Linked DNA regions of Arabidopsis thaliana. Each later gene encodes a partner of the first gene's protein in a complex. Each region holds a gene or a part of one and is shown in the gene's direction. Other genes may lie near its edges. The genes, in order: SnRK1.3 and AT2G28060.

What was found.
Region 2: SnRK1.3 (region 1) and AT2G28060 share a complex: the UniProt entries of both Arabidopsis thaliana proteins name them as parts of the probable heterotrimeric complex.

What each region holds. Positions count from the first base shown.
Region 1 is NC_003076.8:15,774,704-15,791,371, forward strand, and holds SnRK1.3 (SNF1-related protein kinase 1.3), read left to right. Parts: upstream 1-7,203; coding exon 7,204-7,393; intron 7,394-7,843; coding exon 7,844-8,028; intron 8,029-8,128; coding exon 8,129-8,311; intron 8,312-8,405; coding exon 8,406-8,534; intron 8,535-8,611; coding exon 8,612-8,797; intron 8,798-8,883; coding exon 8,884-8,973; intron 8,974-9,062; coding exon 9,063-9,152; intron 9,153-9,249; coding exon 9,250-9,375; intron 9,376-9,520; coding exon 9,521-9,712; intron 9,713-9,882; coding exon 9,883-9,996; downstream 9,997-16,668. Other genes in the region: cdc2cAt (CDC2C), read left to right, coding at 1-115, 210-226; AT5G39430 (DUF1336 family protein, putative (DUF1336)), read right to left, coding at 599-727, 814-936, 1,033-1,227, 1,319-1,447, 1,524-1,686, 1,784-1,922, 2,035-2,478, 2,578-2,658 and 1 more; AT5G39450 (F-box family protein), read left to right, coding at 11,342-11,350, 11,444-13,174; AT5G39460 (F-box family protein), read right to left, coding at 13,586-15,301. UniProt on the Arabidopsis thaliana protein: Catalytic subunit of the probable trimeric SNF1-related protein kinase (SnRK) complex, a central regulator of cellular energy homeostasis, which, in response to seemingly unrelated darkness, sugar and stress conditions, activates energy-producing pathways and inhibits energy-consuming processes.
Region 2 is NC_003071.7:11,943,129-11,959,346, reverse strand, and holds AT2G28060 (5'-AMP-activated protein kinase beta-2 subunit protein), read left to right. Parts: upstream 1-7,093; 5' UTR 7,094-7,304; exon of another isoform or gene 7,305-7,569; 5' UTR 7,570-7,651; intron 7,652-8,703; 5' UTR 8,704-8,728; coding exon 8,729-8,755; intron 8,756-8,855; coding exon 8,856-9,173; 3' UTR 9,174-9,476; downstream 9,477-16,218. Other genes in the region: ABCG3 (ABC-2 type transporter family protein), read right to left, coding at 1-14, 382-654, 737-823, 907-1,098, 1,201-1,329, 1,427-1,540, 1,636-1,807, 1,901-2,187 and 2 more. UniProt on the Arabidopsis thaliana protein: Regulatory subunit of the probable trimeric SNF1-related protein kinase (SnRK) complex, which may play a role in a signal transduction cascade regulating gene expression and carbohydrate metabolism in higher plants.

The sequences.
Region 1 (16,668 bases):
GGAAAACAGAGCATATCAGGACCGTTGATTTTTAAATCAGGAAAGATTGACGAGATTTTGCAAAGGAATGAAAGTAATATCCGTCAAGCTGTCAGAAAATCCCATTTACAGAGGGGTAAACCGGAAATAACCTGATAATAAACCGGAAATAGTCTGATTAGTCCTCTTCATCCACACTAAACCAGTTTTGGGTTTCTTTTGTTTTGCAGAACAAGATGACAGATAAACCGGAAAGGCAAACTACTAAGAAAGACAAAAAGTCCACTTTTTTCATCGTTGTTAGACAAAAGAGGAAACAAAAGAAAGAAACGTTACTTGAAAATAAGTAAATTCCATTAATACTCAAATTGTTTGTTTCTAGTCCTCTTCGTTTTGTGATGTAATAGAGGAAAATATTGTAACAAAAAGTTTGTCATTTTTAGAGGAATCTAAAAAAAAAAATATAGAGCATGACATTTTTCCCTCGTTAAAGTTGTTTTTTTCCAAGATTATTCTCATATTTAGTAGACAGTAGAGACATCAGATTATTTACTTATTACAACATTGGCAAACAACACACAACTCTTTAATGCAAAACAACTTCATCCAACATTGAAGATCACAAAGGGAATGATTCTCCTTCTTCAGGAATTAAAAGTGTAGGAATTTGACCGTTGTCAACAAAGTCAATCTTGCTCAATCTTAGACAACATAGGACCTTTTCTGGTAACTCCTCTTGTTTTTGAGCCTATTTGCAAAAAAAAACAAGTTTTTAATTCTCTACATCGTTCAACAAGAATAGTGTCGTATAAAATATGATAACAAAAACATTACTTGGATAGTTAAGCCGAGATCAAGAGTTCCATTTTTGAGTCGATCTCTGAATGCTTCAAGCCCTTTTCTTGAAAGGTAGCTAAACCGATGCACGTCCAAATCAATCTCAAAGTAGTTAGGACCCTGGACAGAGAGAGACCGAACCGATCATATGATAATTAGGTGACCAAATGGTGTTTTGTTGGTTAGAAAGAGTATATATGGTGATTTTATAAAAACCTTGAAGAAGTTGTGTTGAGGGCGAGAAAGCACGGGTTTTTCATTGTAAGCTTGTATAAGCTTCTTTTCAGTAGAACTCAGACTGAGTTCATCTGGGTTAACTAATCCGGCTACTATTTTAAGCCTTTCACGAAACGGAACGATGTTGTCTTTTGCAAACCCTTTAACTTTTTCCATCTCATCTTCCACTAGTTTCTGTAACAAACCATCTATAACGATCAATGCGCGCATTCACAAAAAATGGTTTAAAAAAAATGAAACGGTCTTTAGGTCTTTGATGGTTAACCTTGATGCTGTCTTGGTATTGTTGAGAGATTTCATTTTTGAAATTTTCTCGTAGTTTAAAGTAAAGTACAATGCTCATGCCTTCTCCGTTACTATCACCGAGAAACATTGCGGCTGGATAAGTTGGCAACTGCAAAAGCCAAATTCATTAGAGTCTTTACCACACATCTCTTTTGATCTAAAGAAACTTTCTTAGTGGTTTTTACCTGGATGTTGACAATTAGAAGAGCAGGGAGGTTTGCCACAGCTTTGATGTTGGGAAGCTCAATGTGTTGGGCTATATGATCAATCTTCCTTGGACACACAAACAAGTCAACACCAATTGGAGTGTATGGACATTGGTTTGGAGCCGGGTGTTTTCGTTTATCTCTACAAATTTATCATTGTATTAACAGTCTACATCCACTTAGAGCCGGTTAAATGCATACATATATGTATATATAAACATAGAAGTTAAGGAATATACTTGAAATAAGTTTCGCCACGTAACTTCAAGTTTGATGGAGGTATCTCACACCAACTTCCTGATGATTGATGCTTCTCTTTGACATAGCACGGAATCGTGTATCCGGCTTTGGGACGGTACAACAATCTTTTCGACGACCCTTTATATAAAAACCATTTCAAAATATACATGTTAAAATTACAGGCTCACATAAGAATGCATATATACATGTTTTGATGTTGTACGGTTTAGTAAAAAATTTGACAACTTACTATGTTCGGTAACTTCTTCACCATCACATGATCTTCTCTTGAAAGAAACCTGATAAACCGCTGACTTCCGGTTTTGAGATGTGGGGGAGTTCAGAGTTTTGTCGTTGAAACTAACCGTTGGCAATGGCATCAACCGGCTCAAATTGGATTTTAATGCTTTTTCTTTAGGGTTAGGGTCTAACTCTTTCAATCCTTTAAAGCTACTATAAGTATTTAGTTTCTTCTTGTTGTTTCCAATAATACCAGACAAACCATTAGTATCTTTATATAAACCGTTGCTCATAAACTTCTCGATTTTATTACCGCCATCAATCTTCAAGTAACTCTCATGGTATTCTTCGTAATTTCCATTTCCATCAACAATGCATGAAGAAGCCTCAAACTCAACCACTTGACCATTTGGAATTTTACCCATTACGCCACCCTCTAACCAAACATTATCAGCTGAAAAGAATCTAGACTTTATCAAATATTCAATACCACCCAAAAAAAAAAAAAGAGACAACCAAAACATTTCATATATATGTATAGATTGACATTTACCTTCATGTAGGCTAATAAAGTCGTCATCAGAGTCAGAGAAAAGACTTGAAGAATCAAACCATGCATCGTTTTGAGAAATATCTGCAACAAAAACCGAAGATCCAACATTCACCACCTATCTTTTTTTTCTGGATAAACAAGAAATCAATATCACAACTCTCATCCTAATGCTACATTGATACTCACCAAAAGAGGTTTGGATTCCAACATCACTTAGGCGTCTAATATCAGACACTTTAGATATGTTTTTAGAAAATCTGCGACGGCCTTTCCTTCGTGGCCTAAGTCTTCTTGAATGTGTTGACATACATGTACCCATTTTTATTACAATTTTTATCTAGAACCTGCCAAAGAAAAAAGCACATATGATACGCCGATGCTTTAAATCACATCTCCAACATCCAAATGCAGTTTTTTCTCAAGAGATGTTGTTAAGATATGAGATTTGAATAAACTTGTAATTAATAGAATCATCTCTACATACTAAGACGTGACTTTTATAGTTTAGTTTTACATTGGATCAAGTCCTTGCCTGACTTTTTCCTGAACATTTGTATATAAAGATTCATTCTAAAGCATCAAATACAAGATTCTTTCGAATACAATATATTTTTGCCGTTCACGAAATAAAATAGATAACTAGTTTACTATGAGGAAGTGGGACACCGGACACAAGAAGATTTAGCAACAAATCTTACATGAATGAGACATGTTAGAGTTTGACCAAGTCAAAACCTACAAGTTGAAGTATATTAAACATAACAAAAAAAAATGAGAACGATTCCATTAAACTGTTTGTTCAATAGGACCAAATTAATATCTTTAAGCGAACATATATACTAAACGTCATTAAGAAAAATTAAACATGATTTAACGTAAATTAGAATTTACATTGATAGAGACGTTATCACGTTACAATCAGATTCAGGAATAACAAAGGGGGTTGTATTAAAACAATGATTTTAGATGTAGGATAGATGAGTTGTGTCTTTAGAGATCTTAGGAGTTAGGATAGTTTAGTTGTGAATTCTTAGCTACACATACATACATATTTAGGGTTACATATTGAGTTGAGATTTTTCCAAAGTAGTGGGGTTGTCTTTTCGTCTTGCCGCCGTGACCGAAGAAGCAGACGACGTCAAGTTTCATTGAGGATTATTCAATAATCTTAATCGACTTTTCATCTTGTTAATTGGGAACTTTGTCGTTTCTTTTCTTATGGGACATAATGAGATTACATTGGTGCAGCAATAGAAGGCTTTCTTTGTTCATCGTTTCGCTGTTCTTCTTTTCTTGAGTTCATTTTTTATTCTAAAATCTTTTTATATCATCCGAAGTTCTTCCTTCAAATCTCATTAAATCACAAACAATTTTCACAACAAAAGGTAAAAAAAATATTACAACTGATGCAGCGCATCTTCTATCTTTCTCATTATCTGTTTTTATTCAAGCTTTCATACTCTGTTTTTATGGGCTTTCTTTATTTTCTCGGTTTAGTTATTACGTGGGCTTTAGGTTTTTGATTTTCTTTTCCATTATGCTTTAGGGTTTGATCTTTTGTAATCAACTATTTAAACCTCTCTCCTACGTGAATAGACGGCAGCTTTTTTATTGAATTATTCAGAGCTTTTAAAGCATCTATCTCTTTTGTTTCTCAGCTATTCTGTAAATCAACGAGCTACAAATTTTGTTCTTTGTTCGGTCACTATGTGAATCAACGAACTTAGGACTTGTTACGGTTAGGCTGCGCCAACAACTCCACCATCTACATATACATTTTTGCAGCCATTTTGTTAAATGAATTCTGGAGTTGGAACTTATTTACAATGGCTGTCACTAGCTTATTCAATGCAAAAAGTTAACTACCAAATCAAAGCAAATCTTATTCAAAGGAATATGCTTTTATTCCACGGCCTAATTATTTTTGCCAAAATGGTTAAAATATTTAAAAATTAAATAATCATTTGAAAGAAAACTTTAAATTGATTTAAATTATAAATCTTTTAATAAAAATATTATTAAAAAAAATAAAAAAATAAAAAAATAATTTCACCGAACATGATTAGATAGTAGGACTAGATGGTAGGACATGTTTATAATATTATAATATATAAACTTTACAACAATTAAATAACCATTTGAAAGAAAACTTTTAAATTGATTTGAATTAAATATTTTTTAAATTAAAGTATTATTAAAACAAAAATAACAAAATAATGTCTAGTTTTACTGAACAAGGTTAGTGGTAGGACGGGTTTGGTCGATGGTATTACGAGACGGTATATCACAAGTGAAATCCATTAGATATGTTTAATTTCACTGTGCATGATTAAATGGTATGACAGGTTTGGATCGATAGTAATACGAAACGATATACTACGGGTGAAATCGTAGATATAAACAATTAAATTTTATATATACATTATCTTAAACACTAAACAAAGTAAACAATATTAATAAAACAAATATCTACATATACATTCTATATAACATATTTTATTAAAAACCTAGCCCCGCGGTATACCGCGGGTCAAAATCTAGTATATCCTAAAAATTCACCGAAATCTCTCCAAATCAATTGTTTTTCTAAATTCCACCAAACCCTCCTAAATCTTTAATTGAATACATATATCTCTTTGTGTGTGTAAATTTATATGTATATACATAGAATGTTTGGTTTTGTTTAGACTTTAATTGATAAGTGTTAGTTGAGAACCTGATTGTTGATAACTGCAACACATTATTCAGGTCTCTTCTGTTGAAAATTTTATGGCAATAATCCTTTTCTTGTGGCAATAATCCTTTTCTTAGCGATTCAGGAGGACACGAGGCACACTGATATTTTTTTTGATTACATATACAGATTTGTTCAAATTTAATGTATTGTTTTAGTCTTTTTCTGTTGTCCATTTATTTTCTAGCATACACCTCCACTTTGAAGTTATATTTGTCTTTTTTTGGTAAAAAAAACTAATTTAGTTTAAAAGAAAAAAAAACAGACTTAATAAATAATCCAAATAAATTGTTTCAATCATATACCAAATAAAGTAATGTTTATTTGTTTACTTGTTTACCATCTCCATGGTGTTGTCTATTTCCTAACGATTATCATTGATTTTTTATCTTTTACTTTAAAAATAAAAAGTTAGACAAATCTTGACGAATTTTTTACATACATGAATTTTTTTTGGCAAACCCGATAAAATGGTTCATAGTGATAATAGAACTGAACTGAACATAAATTGAAAAAAAAAAAATCAGCTAATCTATGGGTCTGTGGCAGTTCTAATGACTCTTTCAACAAGATCTAGCCATATTTTAGTGTATGTGAAAGGGCATGCAAAGAAGATATAGTCTTAGGCTTTTCTCGTTTCCCACAAAAATACACTATTTTGAACATTTCATCGCGGTTTTGAATAGTAATTTTAGTTTTAGTTATATAATAACTTATAAAAAAATATTTATAATACAAAAAAATCTTTTTAAATGTATAATCTAATTTTTATGGAAATGTAAAAAGGGTGTTACACTTTTTTCAGTACGTATTAAAAATTTATCTCTCATCACAAAAATCTAAATCACAATATTTAAAAGTATTAACTAGTAAATCTACTTCAAATTAAAGATTATTATTACTATTTAAATATCTCACCAATAAAAACTCATTGATTTTTTCTAATTTCTTACAAAACATTCTCCGTTGGAAATTTTCTTTATATATGTATATTCTAAATTAAAATAAGAAAGAAATATTCATTGTATGGTTAGTCAAAGTACCCACTCACATTAATGGCAACTTGTATATCAGGAAAGATATTTCTGTCTTCAAAATGTTGAATAATTAGATTCTAAAAACTGTATAAAATATTAAAATCTAACCATTTTACTAATATATTTTATATTTTTGTCATAATTAGGTAATTACTATTAAGTTAAAACAGAAACTGATCTACTTCTTAACATGGTTGTGTGTAAATTAATTTATTGTTTAATATGATTCATGAAAAAAGTGTGATACCATTAGTCAACAGTGTGACTCAGATTTACCTCAGCAAAGGAGAGTAAAAACAAAGGAAAGATGATAATATATGTGCCCATAGACTCTTTTCTTGTACTTTTCCTCAATTTTCTAGTGGTGCAATTTTTCGTGTGCATGCTCATATAATTTGTATCATGGGTTCCATTTTTTTCTTGCATCAACCATACTCTATAAGATTATGTTAAGAGTCTTCTACGTCTAAATCATTTTTCCAAAAAAAATTCTGTTCAATTTGAAGGTTTTTGTTAGAAACAAAATCTATGAATTTTATGAAAATTTACTGATTTTTATCGGTTTAGACAATCAGTCAAACCACAAATTTCTTCCTTCAACTAGGGGACCTATTCATATAGTGAACGAAATGAATTTTGCTAAAATATGATTTTGATTTGGGGCGTATCACCTTTTGGTGGATTTTCTAGTTAGATTCACCATCAATTATTTTTTATTGTTCATTTTATAGGTAGTTTTTTTCTCATAATCCGTCCATTTTATTGATATTTTACCTTGATATATATTTTTGTTATAGAGGTTTAATTATATATTTCTTTTTTATATTTCAGGTTTTATTATCTATAGTAATTAAAATGGATGGATCATCGGAAAAAACTACCAATAAATTAGTATCGATTCTACCAAATTATAGGATTGGTAAGACTCTTGGACATGGATCCTTTGCGAAAGTGAAATTAGCACTGCATGTAGCTACTGGTCACAAAGTTGCTATCAAAATTCTTAATCGCTCTAAGATTAAGAACATGGGTATTGAGATCAAAGGTATGTATTATTTACTTCAATTTTGTTACTCTTTTTTCATTTGTACAAAAGATTAGAGGAGGTATAACACCTCTCTAAATGTATATATAGATGTATCTTTATTTTTCTTCACGAGATCTAATAGGTCTACGAGATTTCGGCAACCACCATGATCAATAATTTTTGGTTTTGATAATATAATTACAAGTTTATTTGGTATGGATTGTATTTTAATACTGAGAAATCAGAAAAATATTTTTATTTTAAAATCTGTTTTTTTCTACGAAAATACTTTATCCGAATCTTAGGTCTCGAAGCCGAAAGACTGTTCATTAATATAGGTCACTGTTATGATTTGTTTTTTTTTTTGGACTACTTTATGTGGCAAAAAAATATTACGCTTTATGTCTTATATAATCGTTGTTATTTATTAGTAATCTTAATAAATGAAATTGTTTAAGTCTCTTGTAGTACAAAGGGAGATCAAAATTCTCAGATTTTTGATGCATCCTCATATCATCCGTCAATATGAAGTTATAGAGACGCCAAATGACATTTATGTTGTGATGGAATATGTTAAGTCTGGAGAACTATTTGACTATATTGTAGAGAAAGGTAAATTACAGGAAGACGAGGCTCGTCATCTTTTTCAGCAGGTTTGGTATATATATAGTATTTATCCAAACATTTTGTATTTCATAAAACCTTATATCCTTTTCGATTGGCAACACTTTTATTTAAACCATATATTCTCAGATCATATCTGGTGTAGAGTATTGTCATCGCAATATGATCGTTCATAGAGATCTTAAGCCCGAGAATGTGCTTTTGGATTCGCAATGCAACATAAAGATTGTTGACTTTGGATTGAGTAATGTCATGCATGATGGTCATTTTTTAAAGACTAGTTGTGGAAGCCCTAATTATGCTGCTCCAGAGGTATAAGAGATTAACATATTCTTCATTTTTATTTCATGAATTTGGATATATATTTGAAGTATCAATTACTCACACCTGAAACTTATTTATATAGGTTATTTCAGGAAAACCATATGGACCAGATGTAGATATATGGAGTTGTGGGGTGATATTATATGCTCTGTTGTGTGGTACTCTTCCTTTCGATGACGAAAATATTCCTAATGTATTCGAGAAAATAAAGGTATTAATAAACAACGATCTTTTTATAAAAATCATATATATTACACATGGTTATGAATTTTTTCTCTATTTCTTTAGAGAGGAATGTATACTCTTCCAAATCATTTATCACATTTTGCTAGAGATTTGATACCGAGAATGCTTATGGTTGATCCTACTATGAGAATTAGCATTACTGAGATTCGTCAACATCCTTGGTTCAATAATCATCTTCCTCTTTATCTTTCTATTCCTCCATTAGATACCATAGACCAAGCTAAAAAGGTTAGAATTTGTTTTCATTAAATTGTACCAAAATAACATCATTTTTATGAATTCAGTTAATTTTGTATCAATTTTACTCTTTCTAGATTGAGGAGGAGATAATTCAAAACGTGGTTAACATAGGGTTTGATAGAAACCATGTTGTTGATTCTCTTGCCAATAGAATCCAAAACGAGGTATGAGTGTTTTCATATTTCATATAATAATCCTATTATACTCAAAATAGTTTTATAAATGATACTCAAGTTAAATTTCGTTACTTTAGGCTACAGTTGCATACCATCTAATCCTAGACAACCGAAACCAAAATTCTGTTCCCAATGACCCTTTCCAATCCAAGTTTAAAGAGATTTCGGTACTTACTCTCTTTCTCTACAACCTGAATTTAAGAAAAATAAATAAACATTACTTCTCTATATAATTATATTTTCGTTTTAATCCTACAAATATAGGATGGTATATTTAATTCGACGTTACCAGTTCAAAATATTACTTCACATGTTGGCCATTCATTTTCGGCATTGTATGGACTAAAATCCAATGTCAAAGATGACAAAACATGGACCCTTGGACTTCAGGTTAGTCCATGCATGGTTAATGTTTAATCCATTGTTGTTCATGTTACTTTAGCATTCAATTTCGTCTCATGTTTTCTTAATTTTCTTTCTATTCAAAACAGTTTATCAATATATATATCAAAATAATTGTTTGGAATTTTGACAGTCTCAAGGGAGTCCTTATGATATCATGACTGAAATTTTTAAAGCTCTTCAAAATCTAAAAATATGCTGGAAAAAAATCGGACTCTACAATATAAAATGTAGATGGGTCCGAAGCTTTGCTTACTATAAGAATCATACAATTGAGGATGAATGTGCCATCATCTTACCGACCGTCATCAAATTTGAAATTCAGGTATATTTATCCAATTTAAGATATTATACTATAATTTAATAGTCCATAAATAACAATTTTTTTTGTTTTGATGCGAATATAAAATTATCAACAATTTACATTGTTAAAATCTATTTAGAGCAATTTCTTAAATGCAAACCTAATTTGTATCATTTTGGTTGTTGTTATAGCTATACAAAGTACGCGAAGGCAAATATTTGCTGGACATCCTAAGAATTGATGGACCTCAGTTTATCTTCTTTGATCTATGTGTTGCGTTTCTCAGAGAGCTAGGTGTCCTCTAAAGCTCAACCATCACTGGTGTTTTAGATGATTATTGCGGTTAGCTAGGTCCTCTAAAGCTCATTTCATCAATGTTTTTTCGATGATTATTGCTTCAATGTTTTAAATTCAATTATGTTTTCTATGTTTCTGTATTTATGGATTAAGTAATCCTTGACAATAAACAAAAAAAAAAAGAAGATAGATTGTATTTTTTTTTGCATTAAGTTTTGGAAAATGCATGTACTTTTTACACTTTCTCGATTTATGATGCCAATTTTGTTTGAAAAACACACAGTACATGCATTTTCATAGATTTTTTTATATTTCTAAAATATAATTTAATGAAACCACATTTGATCAATTAACTCTGTTTAGCAAAGTGATTGATCACAGATCAAGTTGAATATATATTTACCTTCTAAGAGATTACAAATCGGTGATTGATCAAACTAAAGACCAAAGATACACAACCAACTCTCATGGAGCTTCACGAGAAACTCCTCAGTCAGACACACAATTTATTTCTCCTCATCTCTTAGAATTCTCATATTGTCTATCCAATTTCGTTTAGTGTGTCTGACTCAAAAACACTCGAGTATCGTCAAAAGTAACGTCAGCAGTATTATATTGTAGCGTACGTTATTCTTCTAGTATTTTTTATTACAAAGAAAACTAAACTGTAACATTAGATTTTTGTCATTGAAACCCATCTATATAAACCAATCAGCATCACTTTGAAAACCATCGTAATAACGTGTTTAACAAAATACCTTTATTTCTACGTCTAATATTTGACTTGGTTTAAGTAGTTTAGAGACTGTTTTTACGAGACACAAAAATCAAAAAACTCTTGTTCTACACAACCGATATAAACCGATGTCAATTCTTTGCTTTCAAAATTAATGAACTTTTGAAGGAATCAAAACCATTTCTTATGGGCTAATATTTTTCTTAAATGGGCCAATATGTATCCATTTAAAGGCCCAAATATTTCAGAACCATCCTACAAATCTCCAGCCTCGTTGTGGTGTGGTGTAGTGTGTTTTGGAGAAAAGGACATTTGCAAATTATTCTATTATTTCAAACTAGTCCCTAAAGTTCTTACTAATAGTGAAAAGAAGCACTAGGAAGACTTCAACAGTGTAGTCAACTTTAAACTTGCAACGAAAGACCAATGTCTCTCTCTCGCATCGTCTTCTTAGTTAGCGATTTCCTCATTTTTCTTATACAATCTGATTCGGATCGAGTTCTTCTTTGATGGGTAATTGAAAAGTTTGAATCTTGTTTACGTAAAAAGCGATCTGATTCAAACCAAAACTGATATTTTTGACGAATCCCAAAGCTGCGTTTTTTGATCTTCAAAGTATGAATCAGGTAAAACTTTGTAAAGCCAAGTTTGATTTCTGAGTATCATCAAATTTATGTGTTTATCTTTAGTGATTTTGTTACCGATTTGATTTGTGTTAGATGAGGAACGGCGATTTAGGGTCAGAATCATTTGGTACTTGCTTGCTTCTGTCTCTTCCAGAAGATGTTATTGCTGTTATAGCACGTTTTGTATCTCCAAGAGACATTTGCAATCTGAGCTTATGCTGCAAAAGTCTATGTGACGTTGTGGATTCAGAAAGGATCTGGCTTGTGCAGTGTGAAGTAGTAAAGGTTCTTCCTTTATCTGAAATAATCCAATGGCGAATTGGGATTTCTTCTTATAAGGCGCTTTGTTGGTTTCTTGGAGAGGTAATGAAGCCTCTTGTTGGTGTTTGGGTTCATCAAAACCCTGAACTTGGGAATGTTGTTTATGTCATGCCTGGTTTCTTGTCTGTTGTTGGGTGTCGGATAATTCCACAAGAGGTTGGTCCTTTGGGGATTGAGGAGGCTCGAGTTATGTGGTCACCTGTGTTTGAGATTATCTGTGGTTTTGATGGCTCCGCCAAGTTTTTCCTCCATGGGAGAGATGGAAAAGTGCAATGCTGTCTGCACCCTGGTTTCGTTAGGGGCATTGAGAAGAGTTGTAATGTGCTTCTACTTGAGGTTGAGACGAGGCGAGAGAAGAAGTTGTGCAATGAGATTGATGAGACTGTGTTGTTGGTAGAGACGGGGGTTCAGTTACCATTTCGCAAACTACCATTTAGTTATAGAAGGAATTTACTTCACATAGTGACAAGCACTGTTGGTATACCTGTACCTGATCTATCAAGTGAAAAGTTATTTCCTACGTCAAAAGATGATGAAGCGGTGTTGTTGGAACGCAGAACCATGCTTCTTAAAATGCACAAGTTTGGTGGTGATTGGAATCACATGAACCTGGAGGATGAGTGCACAAATATTCCAAATCAGGTAGACATAAACAAATCGTGGAAGCATCTAGGTTTTGAAGGCGATATTCGCAACATGGACGCTGAGAATCAGACACAAAGGAAGAGCTTTAGTAGGTATTTCAGAAGTGGCATAAAGCATATTCTCGGGAGGTCTAGTTCTTCAAAGAACATGTCTTCTTCAAGAAGTGAGACTAGACCTTTGAATCTCCAAAAGTTTCTTAATTTTGGTGATTCAATAGGTCTTAGTCTCAAAGCTTCCAATATTAAGTTGTCTTCTTACCAAGGTTGGCCAAACATGGACGAAACCCGTTATGCCCTTTATAAGCTACCGATTAAGGATCCCATCGCTAACGATGAGTATGCCGGGTTATGGGGAGGAACTTTTGGCTGGCCACCAGGAAAATGTACAGAAGATAAACCAGGGAAGGCTTTTTTTCTACTGATGCTCTCTTATGAAGAATCTCAAGATGGTACTGAGAGACTTCTTATAGGGACAAAAATACTCGAAGGAACTCACTACGGGATGCATCCTAATGGATCTGCAATGTTTGTTATAAAAATTGATTCGCCATCCTTTGAGGGTTTTCCTTTCGACACAAATGGAGAAGATTTTGAGCATTCTTACGCAGGAGAAGGTACTGCAAAGGGTTATGGTTTCCGGTATCCTGGTTACAAACCTGGTACACTTTTCGTGACATCTAAAGGTCTTCTCATGTTCATTTGGAAAGCAACTAAAGCTGTGTTGACATTGCAAAGACTTAACCTTGGAGAGCTCTTAAGGAAAGGTGTATGTGTATCGCCTTTACCTCCATGTTTGAATTTTGCTTATTTGATAAAATGTCACACCAATGTGTTTGCCCCTGAACGAAGAAGATCATAGGAGATTGCTGCAACAAATTTGAAACTCACAAGTCTTCTCTATTTCCAATATAATAGGCTCATTATCATCATTGATATTTAGTTATTTACACATGTAGTAAATATAAAACATGCTGCTAAAGGATACACTTGTGGACTTGCTACTGTTTGGATTTAGTATCAAACCTATTACTCAAACTACATAGATGTGTTGGACTATTCACAAGCTCAATGTTAATCAAGTGTAAATGTGTTGCAAAGTAAAATAAACCATACAAGGAAAAAAGAATTCCACAAATTTAGTTTTTTTTTTTTGTTGCAATACATTGTTTGGTATATACACACATTAAAAGCATAGTAAAAATTATTATCTCAAGATCTGTTGCAAAGTGTTCCATTTCCAACATTGATGTGTTTCTTCATACAATATTTTTTACTCGGAGGAAGACGAATAGGTCGATGACTTGGCAAACACGTTTGAGTAAGACCTTTTAGTATATGTAAAATTCTTTGTTGGAAGCAAAGGTGAAACACAAGAACCTAAACTCTTCTTCAAGATCTCTCCAAGGTTTATTCTTTGCAATGTAATCACATCTTCAGTTCCTTGCCAAACGAATGCAAGAAGATCATTAGAGCTTACGAAAAGGGAACCAGGTTTTGAACCGGGGTATCGGAATCCATAACCGTCAGCGATACCCTCTCCCGTGTAAGAATGCTCGAAATCTCTTCCATCTGTATCAAATGGAAACGGCTCAAGGGAAGGCGTGTCAATATTTACAACAAACATTGAGGATCCATTAGGATGCTCAGCAAAATAACTGAGTATTTTCGTCCCGAAAAGAATTCTCTCACTACCCTCTTCAGATTCTCCATAAGTGAGCATTAATAAGAGAAGGGACTCATCTTCAATATCTTTCCCAGGGGGCCAGCCAAACGTTCCTCCCCACAAACCCGCATACACGTCGTGATCGAGAGGTTTCTTCATTGGTAGTTTATGAAGGGAAAAGTTGTCTGCGCTCATGATTGGCCACCCTTCATATGAAGACATCAAAGTGCATGAAGCTTTAAGACTAAGGCAAAATGTATTACCAGAGCTGAGAAAGCTTTGGCGATTCGAACGTCTTGTCTCACTGCTCGAAGGCGAATTGATCTTTGAAGAACTGAACTTCCCAAGAATATGTTTAATGCCACTTCTTAAAAACCGGCGAAAGCTCTTCTTCCTTGGTGTAACCTCTATCTGATCCTCTATATCCTCCATGTTGTCAATGTCATCACCAAGATTTTCCAACAATTTTTTTATGTCTATCTCTATATGATTGTAACACAACTGCTCATCCTCCTCCAAGTTTATGTGCTTCCAGTTTCCACCAAATTTGAGCATTTTAAGGAGCATGTTTCTGCGTTCCAACATCATCGCTTCGTCATATTTTGACCTGGTGGGAAATAAATTTCCTGTTAATGGTTCATCGACTCGTAGACTTACATGTTTTGTCACTATATCTAGTAAGTTCATTCTATCACTGAAGTCTAGATCTCCAAATGGATCCCCTACTTCTCTCTCAATCTCATTGCACGAACTCTTCTCTGACCTCGGCTCAACTTCGAGTAGAAGCACATTGCAACTCTTCTCGATGTCCATAACGAAACCAGGGTATAAGAAACTACCTTGTTTGTCTCTTCCATGGAGGAAAAAACCCTTAGAGCCATCAAAGCCGCAAATTATCTCAAACACCGGTGACCACTTGACTTGGCCCTCTTGAATCCACAAAGGAGCAACCTTTTGTGGAATTATCCGGCACCCAACAACAGACAAGAAACCAGGCATCACATAAACAACATTCCCAAGTTCAGGGTTTTCTTGCACCCAAATCCCAAGAAGCGGCTTCACCACCTCCACAAGAAACCTACAAAGGGCCTTGTAAGAAGAGATCCCGATTCGCCATTGGACTAGTTCAATCAAAGGAAGAACTTTTACTTCTTCACATTGCACAAGCCACGTCTTCTCGGAATCGACAAGGGCACAAAGACTTTTGCCGCACAAGATTAGATTGCAAATGTCGCTTGGAGAAAGAAAACGAGAGATAACAGCAAACACATCTTCGGGAAGCGTAAGAAGCAAGCAAGCTCCAAACGATTCCTTGTTCATCATGTACTAAAAGTCCAATTCGCAACAAAACCACCCAAGGTAATTAAACACACAAATGATAAAATATATTTATGAAAGTACTCAAAATCCAAATTTAAGAGTAAAATAGCAACGGCCTTACGAAATTCAGACTTTGAAATCAAGAAACACAGCCTTTGGGATTCTGGTTTTGGTTTGAATCAGAAAGCAAAAGAAACGAGGTTATAGAGGTTTCTGAAGATCATAAAAGATCTTAAAGCAGAGTACGCAAGGAAAACGTTGAAATCCTCAACATAACAAGAAAGGCAAAAAGACGACGAAGTGTTTGATAATTGTTTGACAACTTCGTTAAATGTAGTTTTAAAATTTAAAACTACAATACGTGCACATGGAATTTTTCAAGGTGGTTTCAAAATTATTATAGTTGAAGATTTAAATACTAGTGTCTAAATATTATGGAATAGTATGTTGAACGGGTTTTAATTACCAGTCTAAGTTTTATTAGTTTTTGACAGAAGTTTTAAAGCTATTATTTCTTTACCTCGAGACCATTTTCCAAAAAAAAATTCAACCATCGTTTCATGTAATAAAGATTTCGGCTCTCTCATTTTTCACAACCAAAGAGCTCACTAAAACTACATATAACGATGTAGACCTTTTATTTCTTTCATGCTCTAATTTAAACCGTTTTAACTAGTAAAATTTTAAAGTTTTTTTTTATGGCGAGCAATAATTTTCTGGAAAGTTCTATAACTAATGGCTTTACCCACACAATAAATATCTGGGATCGATCATCGATGAGAACACGGTAAATGGCTCTACATATAGTGTACCACGTACGACCAGGGGCGGATCTAGCATAATAACACGACATACGGCTCTACACGAATAGTCCATAATAACATGACAAACGCATAATGTTATTTGGGGTGGGTGGGGTGGGGGGGGAGAGGGGGCAAAATGGAGATATTTCCATAATACATATGGAGATAGTTTCATGAACAGTCCATAATCTTATATATTGTTAAAATGATGTTTTATTCAAGAATTTAAATGAATTCATTTCTAAAAGATTCCGCACTATATCATCCAAAAATGATGTCTGTAAGTTGTAAAGGTAGTAGAATCGTATATATGAAAGTTGACCAACTCTCTCTATATGATTGAGACATCGTTACTTTAGCATTTGCCATGTATCTATTAAATAATTAATGTAAACTCTTCAACTTTTAACTTATATGTTAGTGATATATTTATTATTTAATTTTACATATTATATTATTTTATATATTTAATTGTACTATTACTAAATTTATTTAATATTACATGATTTTTCAATAAAACCATTTTAATAGTTTTCTCATACTCGAAGATTTTTTTTGTAATCCAAA
Region 2 (16,218 bases), on another chromosome or scaffold:
AGCATCATGATCACCTGCAATGATGCATATGAAGAATGAAAATCCTAAGGCATGAATAATCTTAAGGCAGGCACTAATCACTCTCATTTCTAATCTAAGTGATTAGTAAGCAATAGTTGCAAGTTCTATAAGCTAATAATAATATAATCACTCCTAACTTCAGCTCTCATTGACTTGAGTTAAGAACCATTCTAGTTCTGGTTGGTGAATTTCATTGAACGCTGTTGAGCATAAATTTCCCTAAGTCGTAAATCCAGTACTATCTAGCAGTCAGTGTACCAAATCAACATTCAATCCATGCAAAATCCTAGATAGGAAAAGAAGAACAGTAGAAGAACATGAATCTTAAATTAGATAAATAGTGCGAAAGAAAAAACTCACATGTACAGAGATGAGAGTCAAAGTGCTCCAGTAAACATCTCGCCAAATGCAAGCAATGAAGAGCATCAATCCTTCGTTCACCAATAGGCACATGAAGAAGTTGAGCACAAAGTACATCAACAAGCTGAAATCATCTCTTAATCCAACCATGAAGTAGAACACAAGACTTGAGGAAATGGACATGAGAAACAAGAACGGTATGCTTCCCAGAAACTGCCCTAGTAAGAAGACAAAAGCGCCCGAATGCTGGTTCGATGCTTCACTTCTATAAATCTATTAAAAGAAAAAGTAAACTTCAGAGCTCAAAAGAAGAAGTGATCAAAGATAAGAGAAATCAAAAAGGAGAAATAGTCACCTTGATTTCTTTTAAAAGTGAAGGTATTCCAGCAATCCCCAACAGTGAAGCAAACGAGACAAAAACAAATACCGCAGCAACTCTTGTCTGTAAGAAATATTTACACCGAACGATAATTGCATCTCTTGGTACTCAAATGTGACATGCTGAGAATGGTTTAGAAGACTTACTGCAACAGAAGACAAAGAGTGACCTAAGCCAGAATATAATGTGCCAATACTAAGTGTAAGAATCATGTAGAGGATAAGTCGGAGCCAATAGTATTTCCATTCTCTTGACATAACTAAAAGTGATCGCCATGTGAGCACTGCAACACGTGTAGCAGCACCGGCCTTTCCCTTGGATTTAAGCTGTGTGCCCTCCTGCAAATGATATAGGAAACAAAAAGAAAATTGATTTACTAACACATGTCTATTTACAGTTATGAAGCTATGATCCAAAAATTATCATTAGAAAATTATTACCCTTTCGGTAAGTTTTATTATCATAGCTTCGACAGAATCAGCATCTGCAGATGATTTATAAGTCGCCTCGAGAGTGCGAATAGCAACAGCAGTATCCATGTTCACTGCTGAAAAGTCCCCATTATCGTCCTGTCGTTTATATTTAGCTCATATCAGAAAACTGGCGTTACAAGAAGCTAGAAAGAAACAAAATCATATAACTCAAGGTGTATAATGGTGTATGCACCTGCCAGTTTTTGCACATTGCAATAATCCTATCGAAATCTGTGTTTATAGCCCGCAAAAAATGATCTGATGGACTTTGCATTATCGGGCACGGGAATCCAGCATTTGAAAAATGCTTCAAGGAGACAGACACATAACAAGCAAACATAATTTAGAGAGTGATCATTTGGCCATGATATGAGAAATTTTTCAAGTTCAAACAATTTATACCTGTAAGCAAGCCAGTGTCTCCCCAAAGAAGAGTGTGTTTCCATTTGATAGAAGGCAGATTCTATCAAACAAACCAAACACTTCGGTACTACTTTGATAAATGGTGAATACAAGAGTACATCCCATACTTGCAAGCTTTTTTAGTGTCACCATCATAAGCAGTGCCGAAACACTATAAAAAGAGCAAAGGAGCCAATTTTAGAATGCAAGATTTTACCTTTTAGTAGAAGGCAAATAATAACATAAGTCTAGAAATGGTTAGAACCTGTCAAGATGATAAAGAGGCTCATCGATGAATAAGATATGTGGTCGCATCACAAGTTCACGAGCAATAGAGACACGTCTTCTTTCACCACTTCGAAGACCCTTCATGTAACAATGACCACCGATCAATTTGTTTGCATAATCACTCAGAGACATGGCCTGTATCGCATCTTCAACAACACTCCTTTTCTGAAAGAGGAAACCCGGAAGCTGAAGCAACGCTGAATAGTACAAGAATTCACGAACTGTAAGTGAACCAATCAATTGTGTTTCCCTCTCAACAAATCCCTGCAATGCAGCAAACCAAGAATCAGAAACACATTACAAACCAAAAAGAAAAGATCAAGAAAACAATATACAATAGTGACTCACATAGGATCCATAAGGCATATGTGACTTTGAGCCATTCACAAACACCTCACCGTACATTTTTGCTGAAGGAGGCAATCTTCCTATAAAAGATGTGATTAGATCAAATGAAAAAACAAACTAACAATGAATAAACTGACAAATGACATACCAGCAAGAGCCCTCAATAGAGTAGACTTCCCGGATTTTGCAGGACCCATAATTACAGTCATAGTCCCGGGAAACGCATAACCATTCGAACTCTTTACAACCTTATCAGAATATTTTCTCTTTCCCTTCATAGTAACAGTCAAATCTTTCCAAGCAATAGAAGCACCAGCAATCTTTCTAACAACACCAGTCCCAGCTCCTCCTTCAGGAACAGGAGGAGAAGCCATTGATCCGCTATTCATCTTCGACAACGAAGGAGAAACAGGCGTTGTTGTAGCGTCATTAATAGAATCACCACCACCAGCTTCATCTTCCATTCTTAAATCAACATCAGGTGTGTCTTCCCATTCAGGAGAGTCTTCAAAAGATATAGGTTGTCGAAGAGAACCAGGTTTTCTTACATAGAAAAAGTGACTAGATGGAACTCTACTAGTAGGACTACTTGCAGAAGACGAAGACGAACGGTATAAATCCGATTGAGACTGTATCTCCTCCATCCTTTGACACCTCAAGAACACAAAATGTTCCAAAGAAACTACAAATTTTACAATAAAATGTTTAGATTCCATAATCAATGCAACCAAAACAAAAAGGCCAATAAGTGAAGAGACTACTATATATAGTAGGAATCAGTGAAGCACTATTAAAAATCTAAACTTTTTCCAAAAGCTCACTAAATTACAGTTTAGTGACTAGTGAGAAGTGATTCCTAATTAAGTAACTTAGTATAAATCATAAAAACCCTAACTTTTTTCAGTTTCTGCATTATTGAGACACTGAAACAGAGTAACTTCAAGTTCATAGATTTTCTCAGCAACTAAACGAAGACTAAGCAGGAGAAGAGACTCAGTTCGAGTTATGATGAGAACAAGATAGAGAAGGAGACAAACCTGGATCTGAGTGAAGTAAGATCCACAGAGAAAGACGCACAGAGACTGGAGAATCTCTTCTTGGTAGCAAGAGTGAGAGAGCTCTCAAGTGACGACGTCTCTCTAACCAAACCCTTTGGGTTCCGCAAATAAAGAAACAAAAAAATGGATTGGGAATTGTTTTTTGTTTTGTCTGAAACCAAATGCTTTAACGAATTACATAAAAGTGAGCAAAATTCCATTTTTTTTACCTTTTAAGAAAAAAAAATCATATTATTGTATAAAAATATAAACTTAATTTGCATAAAAAGAATTATTTATAGAAAGTATTGTGAAAATAGGATTTCTTAAAATTTGAAGGCACTATGGCATTTTTGCAGATATTATATTTTTCCTTTGGATTTTTTTCTTTTTAGTTAAGTTTTTCCTTTGGATATATAAAGTTATTTTGGGGCTTAGTTGAAGTAAAAAAGTTTTTATTTCTATTAGAAATTTTAAACAATGCCTATTTTCACAATACTCTTGTGAAAAAATGTCAATATAGAAAATAATTTAAAGAAAAAAAATACTAACTTCAACTTTAAGCTTTTTTGTTCGTTTAAGCTTTAGATATCTGAACAAAGGTTTGGCCTAGTGCTTTTCTTAATTATGCAAACAAATTGCTGACATTTTAAACGATATAATACAAAATTTTGAAATATCTTGCTCTTTTTTGGTATTAGTATCAGCTTTTCTTCTTTTTATTTAATGATATTAATTGAAAAGAAAAGAAAAAGAAAGTGATATTTGGTTATCTTTATAATCAAGCATGAAGAAACCAGCTACTTAAAATAAGAAAAAAATATTGTTTGTATGATAAATGGCTTACAGATTTTTTTTCATTTTTTCTCGATGTTAACGTTATTTGAGTAACTATTTACTATCTGAATGGGAAACACTATTTGGTTTTGTTGAAATTGGTGGCAAGTTTTAAGTGGGCTTGAAGAAGTAAAACGGCCCATACACAAATTTGCAATTATTTCCCTCTTTCCGATCATTTTCCTTGAAATCGTTCACGTGATCCATGATACTCCTCCTCCATTGCCACTCTATTTAGCAATTTACTCTTCTGCTCTCTTTTTTTTTTCTTTCTTTCAAGTTTCACCATGCAAAGACAGAAAATATAAGAAAATGCTTCATTTGGTATTCTTGGTTTTCCTATAAAATGAATATATCGACCTATCCAAGGCTAGTAGCTTGATTTTTGTAGTGGGTAACTTCAAAAGGAAGAGTCTCTCAAGACCAGGAGTTTGGTTCTCGGCGGTGGGAAAATGATTCATTTAGCCTGTTTTTGTTTGTAGTTCAAAAATCTACGTACCAAAACCCCGAAAATTTTGGTCAACCAAAAATAAAATCCGAACTATATAACTGCGTTATCATCTATTCGGCACTACATAGGAACTTGAGGTAACAAACTTAACATTTTCTTGTTTTTCTACTACAAGAAAACTGTCCAATTTTCGACCATGAATTTAGTCAGAAATTGGTCAAAAACAACCCTGAATAAAAGCAATAAAGAAGAGTTATCCAAAACTAAAAATTTGAATAAAAAAGCATAGAAAATAACACATACTTTTGCATTACATACGTCTTCATAAATATAGACACCAAAAGAATCAACACATCAGTCTTATTTGTATAATTAAATTCTCAAAATAGAAGAGAAAATAATCAAGGCGATATCTTGGACCGGGAGGTAACTTTAGATGAGGAACACTTAATGGAAACAAGAGGCTGATAATTTACAAACCGGCTCGGAGCGGATCTTGGTCGGAACCCTTTAGGCATACAACTCTTTACTTGTGTCCCATGAAAAATCTGATTCCTCGGATTCAATTTGACCGTGTCTTCGACTGATAAAGGCATCATCGACGAGCTTGGAACACTCTCCAGTGGTATTAGTCTCCCTCCAGCGTACAAGAATAAAAGGTTTAGAGTGATAATGACAATATGAACTCTTGTGTTGAACATTGGGTTTTAGTTTGAAGTAATTATTTTTGTTTTTTTGAGAGAGTTTGGAATGATAATGTGAGGGATATATAAGTGGGAGGAGATATACACTGGTTTAGGGTTAAAGTTCATAAATGGGCTCGTGAGTGATGGCTGGAAACATAAGAGAGAAGAGTAAGTAGGAGAGGACAGAGGCAAAATGGCTGGAAAATGGTATTAATCAAAATACGATTTTATATGTGTGATAGAGATACAAAAAAGTGTTGATGGGGTCGGGAAGATCAGAAAGAGGTAGGAAAGTCCGTGAGTTTCAGAAATTACAATCAAAGATCAAACATTTGTCTTTGCATTTATGAATTATGACACACTCACACGCAATTTTCTATATTTTCAAACTATTGTTTCTCTTGTTTTAAAATGGTTTGGAGATTGGACATGGATTTTTAAATATATATATTATTATGTACACGGTTGCATGGGTTTTCGGGACTATTGGATTTTGCTTTCTTTTGGATAACAAAAACACGATAAATATTTCATTAAACCATACAAATCTTCGATTGATAAATACATATACGAAAACATACCTAAGGAAAAGGAATCCATTGTTGTAGGATTTAGGTACCATGCGGTTTTCCAAACCATAGAGTAATCTCATATGTATTGAAATTTAAAAAAAAAAAAATACAAAGAAGAACTAAAAAACAGAAAAAAAAAACTAAGAAAATAGGGAAATTAAGTTGGAGTCTCTTTAATTTGTTTTTTTTTTGTCATCTAGAGTTATTTTAATGTTACCATGATGAAATACTTGATAAAATACAACATTAAACCGAAAGAAAACGAGATTTTTTCGAAGTTTAAGCCCTAAGTAAAAAAGTCATAAATAATACTACAAAGCAAGAGGAAAAAAGCAATAGTAGTTGAAATCCCACCAAAACTATAAGTCGCATAGTTCTTGAAGATTATTTGAAAGAAAAGTATCGCGGATGCCCACCACCAACCAACGATACACAAGTCCTCCTATTGAGATGAACAACAACCTTCAGATTTCAGAATTTTTAAGCTTTATAACCTGATAACCACTGCCCAAACTTTCTTTCGTATGTGGTGATGTCATAAATCGACAAGAAACAATAAACATTAAGATTATGTGCCTTCATTGGATCATGGACTGAAAATTAAGCTCTTCGATCAACTAAAACAAATTTATCATCATTGTTTTCATACTCGCTGCTAAGTTTGCAGGGGAGTATTAGAGTCCACAACTAAAACAAGTCCAAACCCAATGTGAGGTCTACATAAGTAGAATTTTAACAAGTTAGAAGATTCATATAAACAATTATGTAATGAGAACTATGATTGTAACTTTGAGAGAACTCTCTTCCTTCATCTTATGAAATATCAAATCTAGAAACATTGGCTTTTGGTGACAAACCTTAAGCTCCTTTACATTTTTCTCTTCTTTACATTTCAATAAAGCTCACTAGAACTATTGCATTTCTATCTTTATATAATAAGCTCAATGAACATCAATCTATATTTGTCTTAAAAATGTCAAATAAATAGAAGTTTCATGAAAGGACCAGACCTCGATCAAGTCTGAGAAGCATAGACAAGGAGTGAAGATTTAGTCTCGATAACACCATTCTTAAGAGACGAAAAAAGGTAAAAGATCGAATCGCATAGAATCAAAGAAATCTTCACATATTCAGAGGAAAAACAGCATGTCTAGCGAACACTAGAGTCGAACAAAAGCAAACCACCAATCACACATCCTTATTTGTCAATTATTTATTTTGGAAACTAAAAAGAAAGTTAATGAGTAAAATAGTTTCCATAAGAAGAAAAAAAATGTTTTCTGAGGAAAGAAAATGTTTTCGAAGGACAGCAAAGTTTAAGCCAATAAGCAAAACAAAAGCTGATGCTTGTCGCGACTGTGTTCGTCAAGAATCTCCAGGACGAACCCAATCTTCTCTCTCGAAGCTGTCTAAAATTAATCAATCAATCATTGAGCTAATCATATTCTAGGTTAAGTAAAAACAGAGTAAACCCTCTCTTTTTTTCTCTTTCTCTGCCTTTCTCAATTTCGTTTCGTCTCCTTCGTTCTTCCAATTTCCGTCTGATTTTATACGAAATTTGCATTGATATCGAAGTAAAATCGAATACCCATGATTCAAAATTTCATTTTTTATGCGACTGATTCCTCAATTTTGATTTTCCGGTGATTTCTAGGGTTTTCTATTAGGTGGGTGTTATTTATCATTTGATGGGTCATTTACTGATGATTTTGCAGGTTTTTGTTTTAAGGATTTGTGTAGACTTTCATTGCTGCTACGTTTTTGAAAGGGTAATTTGAAGGGCTTAGCTTCCCAAAGGTGAGAATTTTAACTCCAGTTTGGCTTCTGATATTGTGTTCATTGTTATGTATTTTTAAGCTTAGTAGTTGTGTTTTAAAGTTGTTCCAGTTTGGTTGATAAGTGTGTATGTGTGTTCATCAGATTGGGTGAGTACAGTTCTTTCATTGATATCTCCAGTTGATTTGTGGGAATTTTGTTCTGTGTGTATAGGATTTAGACCTCAAATATTGGATTCTCTTTAAGCATTTAAGTGCCTGGTTTCTTCATCATCACTTGATAGGAGGACTTTACAAATTTTATTCTGAACATGGAATTTGGTTAGCCGAATAACTTCGTGGGGATTAGTTTCTCGTGCAAGGAAATTCTTCATGGTTCTGTCTTGGAAGTGTTTGGAATCTTGAAGCTTGATAGATTTTCGATGTAGGCATGATGCGGTTTTCTTATAGGTTTAAAGGGTCTTTAGCTGAGATATGGTTCCTATGGTGTGTAATAGGTTTAAAGGGTCTTTAGATGAGATAAAACTGTGCAAAGAGTTCATATAATAAATGGTTAAATCCTATATATTATCTGTTCAGTGTACATAGAGAAGAATTAGCTGTGGAATTTGGATGTACATGATAATAACAATGTAGTTTATGTCTTCCAACTTGTCTCTGTTGTGATAATGATCAATGTGTTTCTATTCTAACTCCTGTGGTCCATTGATTTTTGAATCCTTTGTCCACCTTAGTACTTTCTTCGAAGAAGGCATGGGAAAATATGATTCTCTGGTCCAACTTTCTTAAGACTGTCTGCATCTTTGGATCCTTAGATTTGTCTACGGGATTATGAATTATTTGACTTTTGATACCGATTAGACAAAAGTCTTACATTTCACACAAATAAGAGTTTGCATCATTGTAGAGAACAACATTGTTTTCATTTCTGCTTCAGTGTTTTTGAGTTGAAATGTAAACACCTCTTTCTCTTAGATTAGTTTGAATGGCACTTGAGCTGGTGTGACCTACATTCATTTTGATTGTTTACTTTGCATGCTATTGCGGTTTAGTTATGATTATATTTTGTTTCAGGCACTAGGTGGCAATCTTATCCAAGATGAACAGTCAAAATCCTGATGATCATGTAAGCCAGCTAAAACACCTTTTTGCCTTCAACCAACTAATCGAGTAATTTCCAGTCTCCCGCTCGATTTTTCAATCTTTTATCGTTTTCTTAAACATAGGAGGACACAACGGTTGTGGGATTTGAAGTACCTGTATCACCGGTTTCAAGTTACAACAATGTGTATTCCTCAACCGAAGATGAGACAAGAGATCCTCCAGCAGTACCGCCACACCTTCAACACTCTCTATTAGGCAATCAGGGTAGCATGGAACTGGCTTATGCGCCACAGAATGTTGTCCTGAACCACCTCTATATCGAGAACCGAGACGCCCCAAGATCTGTTGTAGCACTCGGTTTCTCGCATCGGTTCAGGACTAAGTTTGTCACTGTGGTGATATACAAGCCTGTCCAAAGAAGAGGGAGCGCCAATGTTTGAATAATGATACCTCTTTTTAAGTAGTGTTGGGAATTTGCTTCTTTATGGATTGAATTTGGTATACAAAACCATCTGGTCCGTACTGAATTTTATTCTTCTCTTACAGATTCGATTTAGACGGTTTCTAGGTACATTCGATTGAAATCATCTTCTTGTTCGGAGTTTATATAAAATCTCCATGCATTTTTATTTTTTAGGCCCAAAAAAGCTGATAGACGTGGGCATTGTTTGTTTGTAATAACTCCCTTAGATTGGGTTTAGTTAAACGAGCCCAAATATCGCTAATGAAGTTCTTTACTTGCTCATATGTAGTGTTACCATAAATTATTTAAATCTTTCGTAGCTCCAAAAAGGAAAAAAAAAAAAAAAAATCTTAATCAAAACTTTCTATGTCCGAGATAAGTTACCAAACTAATGCTCTAAAACTGGATTGGATCGTCGGATCAATGCATTAGTCTAAAACTGGATTGGATCGTCGGATCATTGCATTAGTTCGGTTTGAATGTAGATCACTTATACTCTCGTTGTTTTTAATTAAGTGTAGTTTTAAGGTTTTTTATTTTTTTTTAATATAAGTGTTGTTTTCACTTTTCTATGCAAACATTAAATGTATTTAATAATTTTTAATTAATTATATTTTTTTACTGGTTGGATTAGTTGTAATTAATGATGTTTTTATAGGAAAAAGATAAATTAAATAAAATTTGTATGTTTTCTTAATTTGTGTGCAAAAACTTTAAACTACAAATATTCAGTAACAGAGGGAGTATATAAAAACAAAGTTGGTTTGTGCATGGGAGCTTATTTGCACAAAATTGATTAAAAAATGGGTTCTGGATATTAATAAGACTATGATTAATATCCAGAACCCTATATTTTTTTCAATTTCATCGAAAGTTTCATCAATGTAACGTTAAAACAAATTATACATCTTACAACCGTCAGAAACTACTTTAAATCCATGATATCACATATATGAAACTAACATTATTATTTGAACAAATTAAAAAACATTATATTACGCATTATAACATTGAAAAACAAAACAAAATAACTAATATAGAATAAAATAAATTGTATCCGGATTGGAAATTGCTTATCTGATATTTTTTTTAACCGTATTTTAACTTAGAACAAAAAAAACAGAGTGTAGGGAAACATAAATTCTACCAAATTCGAATATATAAGAAAAACATAAAAAAAAATTAACAAATAAATTAAATAATGGAAAAAGCAGATAGGAGAGCTAATGGTTTAGTGGCGAATCTAAATTCTGTCCAAAGAATTGTCTGACCTCCCCTAGCTCAACATCTTGGGAAGAATATTAATTTATCCGTTTTGTTCATCCGCCTAAAGAGATAATTTATCTGCAAAGTTTTTTTATATTTGTAAAGTCATTCGGTTTTGCCAAGTTTTACTAGGTCTAGGTAGATTAAAAAGTAAATTCGGTTTGAAAGTTATATTTGGGTTGGATTACTGTCCAAGTTACGGGTATACCGGTCCAAATTCAATAACACATCCAATAAAATTTTCGATCTTAAAACATCTTCTTTGACCTGTCCGGATAGGTAAATGTCTAAATCTCTTTTTGAAATTAGGTATGAAATCTCATAGAACTAGAATGTAACTCCAAAATGATTCTTGAACATGAGTGTGACTAGCCAAGAGCATACCAAATTTAAGATCATTATGATATGTCCAAACTCCAAATTTAAGCCACACTTATTTTCTCAAAATTATACAGAACTATGATTTACTAAAATTGGATTCTCTGTCTATTTTTGGTATAGCTATTATCCTAGTGAATTAGCACAATGTTATTATATGCGCTCTCTGCTAAAAGTAAAAACCAGCTATCTTGTCAAAACAAAAATAAAAAGTTTCTTAACCAACACATGAAACTGATAAATACTATATAATATAAAATTAACATATATCGCTATCAAATCATATATCGTAGGTCCATAATCTTTCTTTTAAAATTCATATGAGTCTTTTTAATTTATTAATTTTGTCGTGCTCATAATGTTTTCCCTCTAAATCCTAGTTTTTGTAGTTTTCTGCTATGCAGGTATTTGTAAACAACTTATATTTTTGGAAATTTGGACTCTAAAATATAGAAAAGGCTATAAAATAAACACTGTGATGTGGCATATGTGTTGTACACCTTTGAATCTGACAATAAATTACTCGATCTAGTGTAACTTTTGCATATGAGATTTTCTTTTGTCGTCTATATATTACTTTGTTTCAAAGTTTAATAATACAAAAAAAAAAGTGTCTTTCATTTGATTTGTTGACACAGAGCAAAGCCAATGAGGATTCGAAACGTTGTAATTAGTACTCATAGTTGGCTGACTTTGTCTATCGACATAATGTGTTGCTTCTCTCATTATGAGATTCCATTAGTACAATTTTTTTTTTCGGCGCATCAAAACATTTCTATTAAATCGTTTTTTTTGTTCTCATCGAATTTGGTGATGGGTTAAAATCCAAAATCTTTAGACGAAAAAGCAATGATTTATTCCATTAGCATTATACATTTCATTTTCACATTGAATTGGAAAAGTAAAAGAAAGTGAAGAAGAGGGGACCAGACAGGAACTGGGGTGATAGAGTTTGGTCCATGGCTCTGTCCTTGAGCCCATTGGTCACGTGGCAAGGAGTGTCTTACTGGTGCACTTTTATGAAACAACCATGAGTGTCACGTGACGTACCATTGGGGCTATTGGTCCACCTCAACCTCATTGGAGCCATGTCATTACATTTATCCTGTTTACTTTTCTCTTAATAAAAAGTTTATAAGATTACAAGTTTTTGTTAGAAAAAAAACACACAAAAGAATTAGCCTAGAAACTAACAAAAAACAATGACACTGGACATACATTTGTCGTATGCTTAGGACAATGAAACATGCTTTAATCTTCTAAACGAATTTAACAATTTCATGATATATATTTTTTTGTATATATTTTATGGATTTCACGATAGGAAGATGTCTAAGCTATATTTACAAAAAAAAAAATGTCAAAGCTGATTGTTTAACCCGTTTATCCGAAACCAAAATTAACGATATTTTTCGAAAAAAATTGTTTCTTCCAATTAAACAATTAATCAAAAAAATAGTTAAATTTATATGGGGTAAAAAAAATTTGTTGTGTTGTATATAGGTAGGGGAAAAGAGGTGGCTACGAAATCATGACGGTTCGAAGAGAACACGTAATAAAGAACGCCAACTTGTCAACAAAATCTGCACCTATCCACTTCAGACTGTACGGACTTGGGGTCCCTTTCAGGTGGCCTGATTCGAATCTCACCTTTAGATACTTTTCAATATTTTGGACAATGAAAATCAAATTTAATGGAAAGATACGAAATGTGGACTAGATAAGATATGTATTCCCTTACATTATTTTTATAATCTGCTAAATTATGAACTAACAGTTCATATTTATTGGGCTAAAGAATTCCAGTTTATAGACTAACTTTTATTTTAGTTGGTAGATATGATATAAACCGCTCAAGACATTGGTTAGGAATTAGGACTACACACGCGCTAAATTCACGTTGAGAACTGGCTGGCCCAGTGTCAAGTGGTTTTCTTTCGAAATTATTTGAATTTAAAACTGTTATAACTAATAAAACAACAAAATTATGAATAAAATACGAAAGTTTGTTATTGATAGTCCGATAGAAAAGCAGATTAATATCTAAAGCTATGCTACCGTTTTATTCAAATAATTTAAAAATCAAAATTAATCTCTTATAGTCTCATTAGTCTTGGCACACACAATTTTAAACAACTACTCTTCACCTACACCCGAAAAAGAGGCGTGAGTATTAGTGAAAATGGTCATTCTAGCATGTATGCTAACACGATAACAACGAGCAATGAGCAATTCAATGCAATCAATATAACCTATTTTCATGTAATTCAGTTTCCCTTTTTCATTCTCCATCAGTTTCACTTTTTAAAGACCACACACTCCAAAGGCATCTAACGATCCCAAAAATTACAAACTGGCTTTGTAAGCTATAACAAATTAACAACTACCAAAAATAGTTATACCTTTTTATTTTATTTTATTTTCTTCTAAATTCTGTTATTTTTCTTTTCTAAAATCTAGTTTAAACACAGTGACGTAACTTGGCAAGTGCGTATTGGTAATGATAAAAATATTCCCATGATATTATAGTTTAGTGTTAGTAGTCTAATAATAATTGCGGTAATCCTTTTTCCAAGGGTTTTCAAAAACTATCTTTACCCTAAACCAAGTAACCTTTATCGAATAGATAGTGGACAATTATTTTATAAATAATAATACTTCAAAAAAATAATCCAGAGACCAGATCCTCGTAATAGCATCAGAGTTCCTTGGGTTCAACAAAGTACTTCAAACCACCTGAATAGTGAAGAGTGAAGACCATACTTTCGAGTTTTCTATATTATCAGTAAACATATACAATACACAAATATTAATCTGGTTAAAGTTACTAGTTAATTTTTCAAACAATTGGTATATATATGGATTTGCTTTTCCTGCTAATCGAAATAAATATATGATTAGTGGGGTATATAATTATATATATAAATATATATAGCTTTTACTTTCTTTAAATAAAAGTCGGGTTCATCCACTTTATATACTCCCTTTCTTTCAATTTATTTGATGTATAAAGGTTTGCCACAAAAATTAAGAAATCGTTGAGAGCAAAAATTAATATGCAAACCGCCAATATTAAAACTCCCAACTTCGAGAGAGACACGTCCAGAATCAAGCACCACACCCCCCATTTTGTTGTTTTCTCTTCAACTCTTACACATTGTATGACAAACATATTATAATAACTAACCAATGAAAATGGTTTTTTTACATGACATTTGGCAGGTAATTAAAGGAGGTCCGTCTGCTAATACTTTATTAGGTTAAACAAGTATGATCTATAAACTAAATTTACTACACATGGTAGAGTAAATGTAGTCAGGATCCTTAACTAAAGATTAATTTTATTCGTTATTATAGATGCCATTGAGAATTTGAGATTATAGGTTTTGTTTCAAGTATAATATAAATCTTATTATAATGTTTAATATAAGAAGCTAATACATATATGTATATTTGGGAATGTGGTTTTCGAACTTTGCTTGATGACAATAATTTTCTATTCGTGATGCACCAATCGTTTCATTTTGTAGACAGACATTTTTCATTGACCACTTTTAACACGTGAACTCTTCTCTTTCATTTCTTTAGTTCAATTCGAAATAAAACTGTTTGGACCATTTTCTTGTGTGCGTAAAATCTTTGTCTTGTAGATCTTTTGGTTTAAAGATCAGTTTGTGTGCATGTTTTGGCGGTATCATCGGTTTTGCTAACCTGTAGTACTTAGAGAAATTATTGTTTCTACTTTCTACTATGTACTCCATAGATTGAATTAATATCTTTTGCTACAGCTTTTCTTAGTACAAAAACAGGTTTAAGGTTCACTGTGTCCCGGGTTCAAATTTCTTTGAGAGATGATTAATTACGTCCTGTCGTAGTATTCATATGTGTACACATAGTATTTATGCCGTCTTGGATCTCAATATGTGTCAACAATCAATTTTTTGTATATATTAAAAACAACATTCAGATAATTCCTTGAATCTATATATTTTACTATCCCATCTATTTTTGGATATATATATATATATATACATATATATATATATATATATATATATATATCTAATTGCAATGCATCGACGACACCGGAGTAATGCAAGGTTCAACTTGTTTTGCAAAGACCATGCTAACACAACAACATTCCGGAATCACAGAAAAATCCGAGTAATTTTAAAGTGAATTTAATTGACTTACCAAAATACAGTCCATGAAATCAATACTGTGCCATTATTGCTTACCAAAAATACCATAACTTTGTTTCTAGTGAGAATTGAACTCAGGGCAGAAAAGTACATATTCTTTTCCCAAGACAATTTGGCAATGTTTTTCTTCTTAACCTAAATAGATTCAATTCAACTAAACGAATTACTAAATTATTACTCTTTGTTTTGCCACTCTCTTTTTAATTCGTCTTACCGTTTATCTTTAAGTTTCTCTACGTTTTTAAGTTGTAATCACTAAATTATTTTCACTACACTGTTAAAGGCTTAAAGCTTACCACCAAATGTTATTTAATTTCACTGAACTGTTAAAACTTTAGCTACTTCAAATTGCTATTCTTTTTGTTCTTTTTTTTTATAAGGGGCATAGATCCAATAATAGTTGCGCAAATAAGAAGAAGTTTACACATGTGAAGTGGGAAAGTGAGATATTCCTTCACGAGGTGGACTCCAAGATGGCAGCTCCTAACTCCATTTGTCCCAACTCTCTTTACCATAACTCAACTTCTGCCAATCAAACTCTCTTCATAAAATATTTATGCATATATTAACATTTAGTAACAAAAATTCAACATATGTATATATGATACCAAATAAATCAACATATATATTATTACACAGTCACATCTCTTACTGTGCATATATATTTAGACAAACACATCTCTCTCTCTCTCTCTCTCTCATCTGTGTTCTAGATCTCACCAGGTCTTTCTCTGGTTAATATATGGCTTCCAAGATCTGGTAATATGTTATAAATACGTCATACTTAAGCTTTTTTCAAATCAAAAATAGAAATTTGTGGGTTTGTCTCGTTTTACTATTTTAGCAGTATATATTAAGAAGTTCAGATGTTATTCGATCATCTGTTTTTGCTTCCCCTCTGCCATCTTTATCTTTTAGGGTTTCAATTCTTTTTCACTTTTTTCTTCTGGTTTGGAGATGGTTAGGTTCCAACTAAGTATACGAGATTAAATTTGACATCTTAGTTACTTCAAAATTCCTTCAATCAAAACAAGTCATCTCGACTATTCCGCCATGTTTGTATATACATATTTATATATTATATATATGAAGGTACGAGTTTCTAGTGTCTATAAATTAAGAAGGTTAAGTACCATATAGATGATATTTGTTAAGTAGTAAGTCACTCAAAGTTTG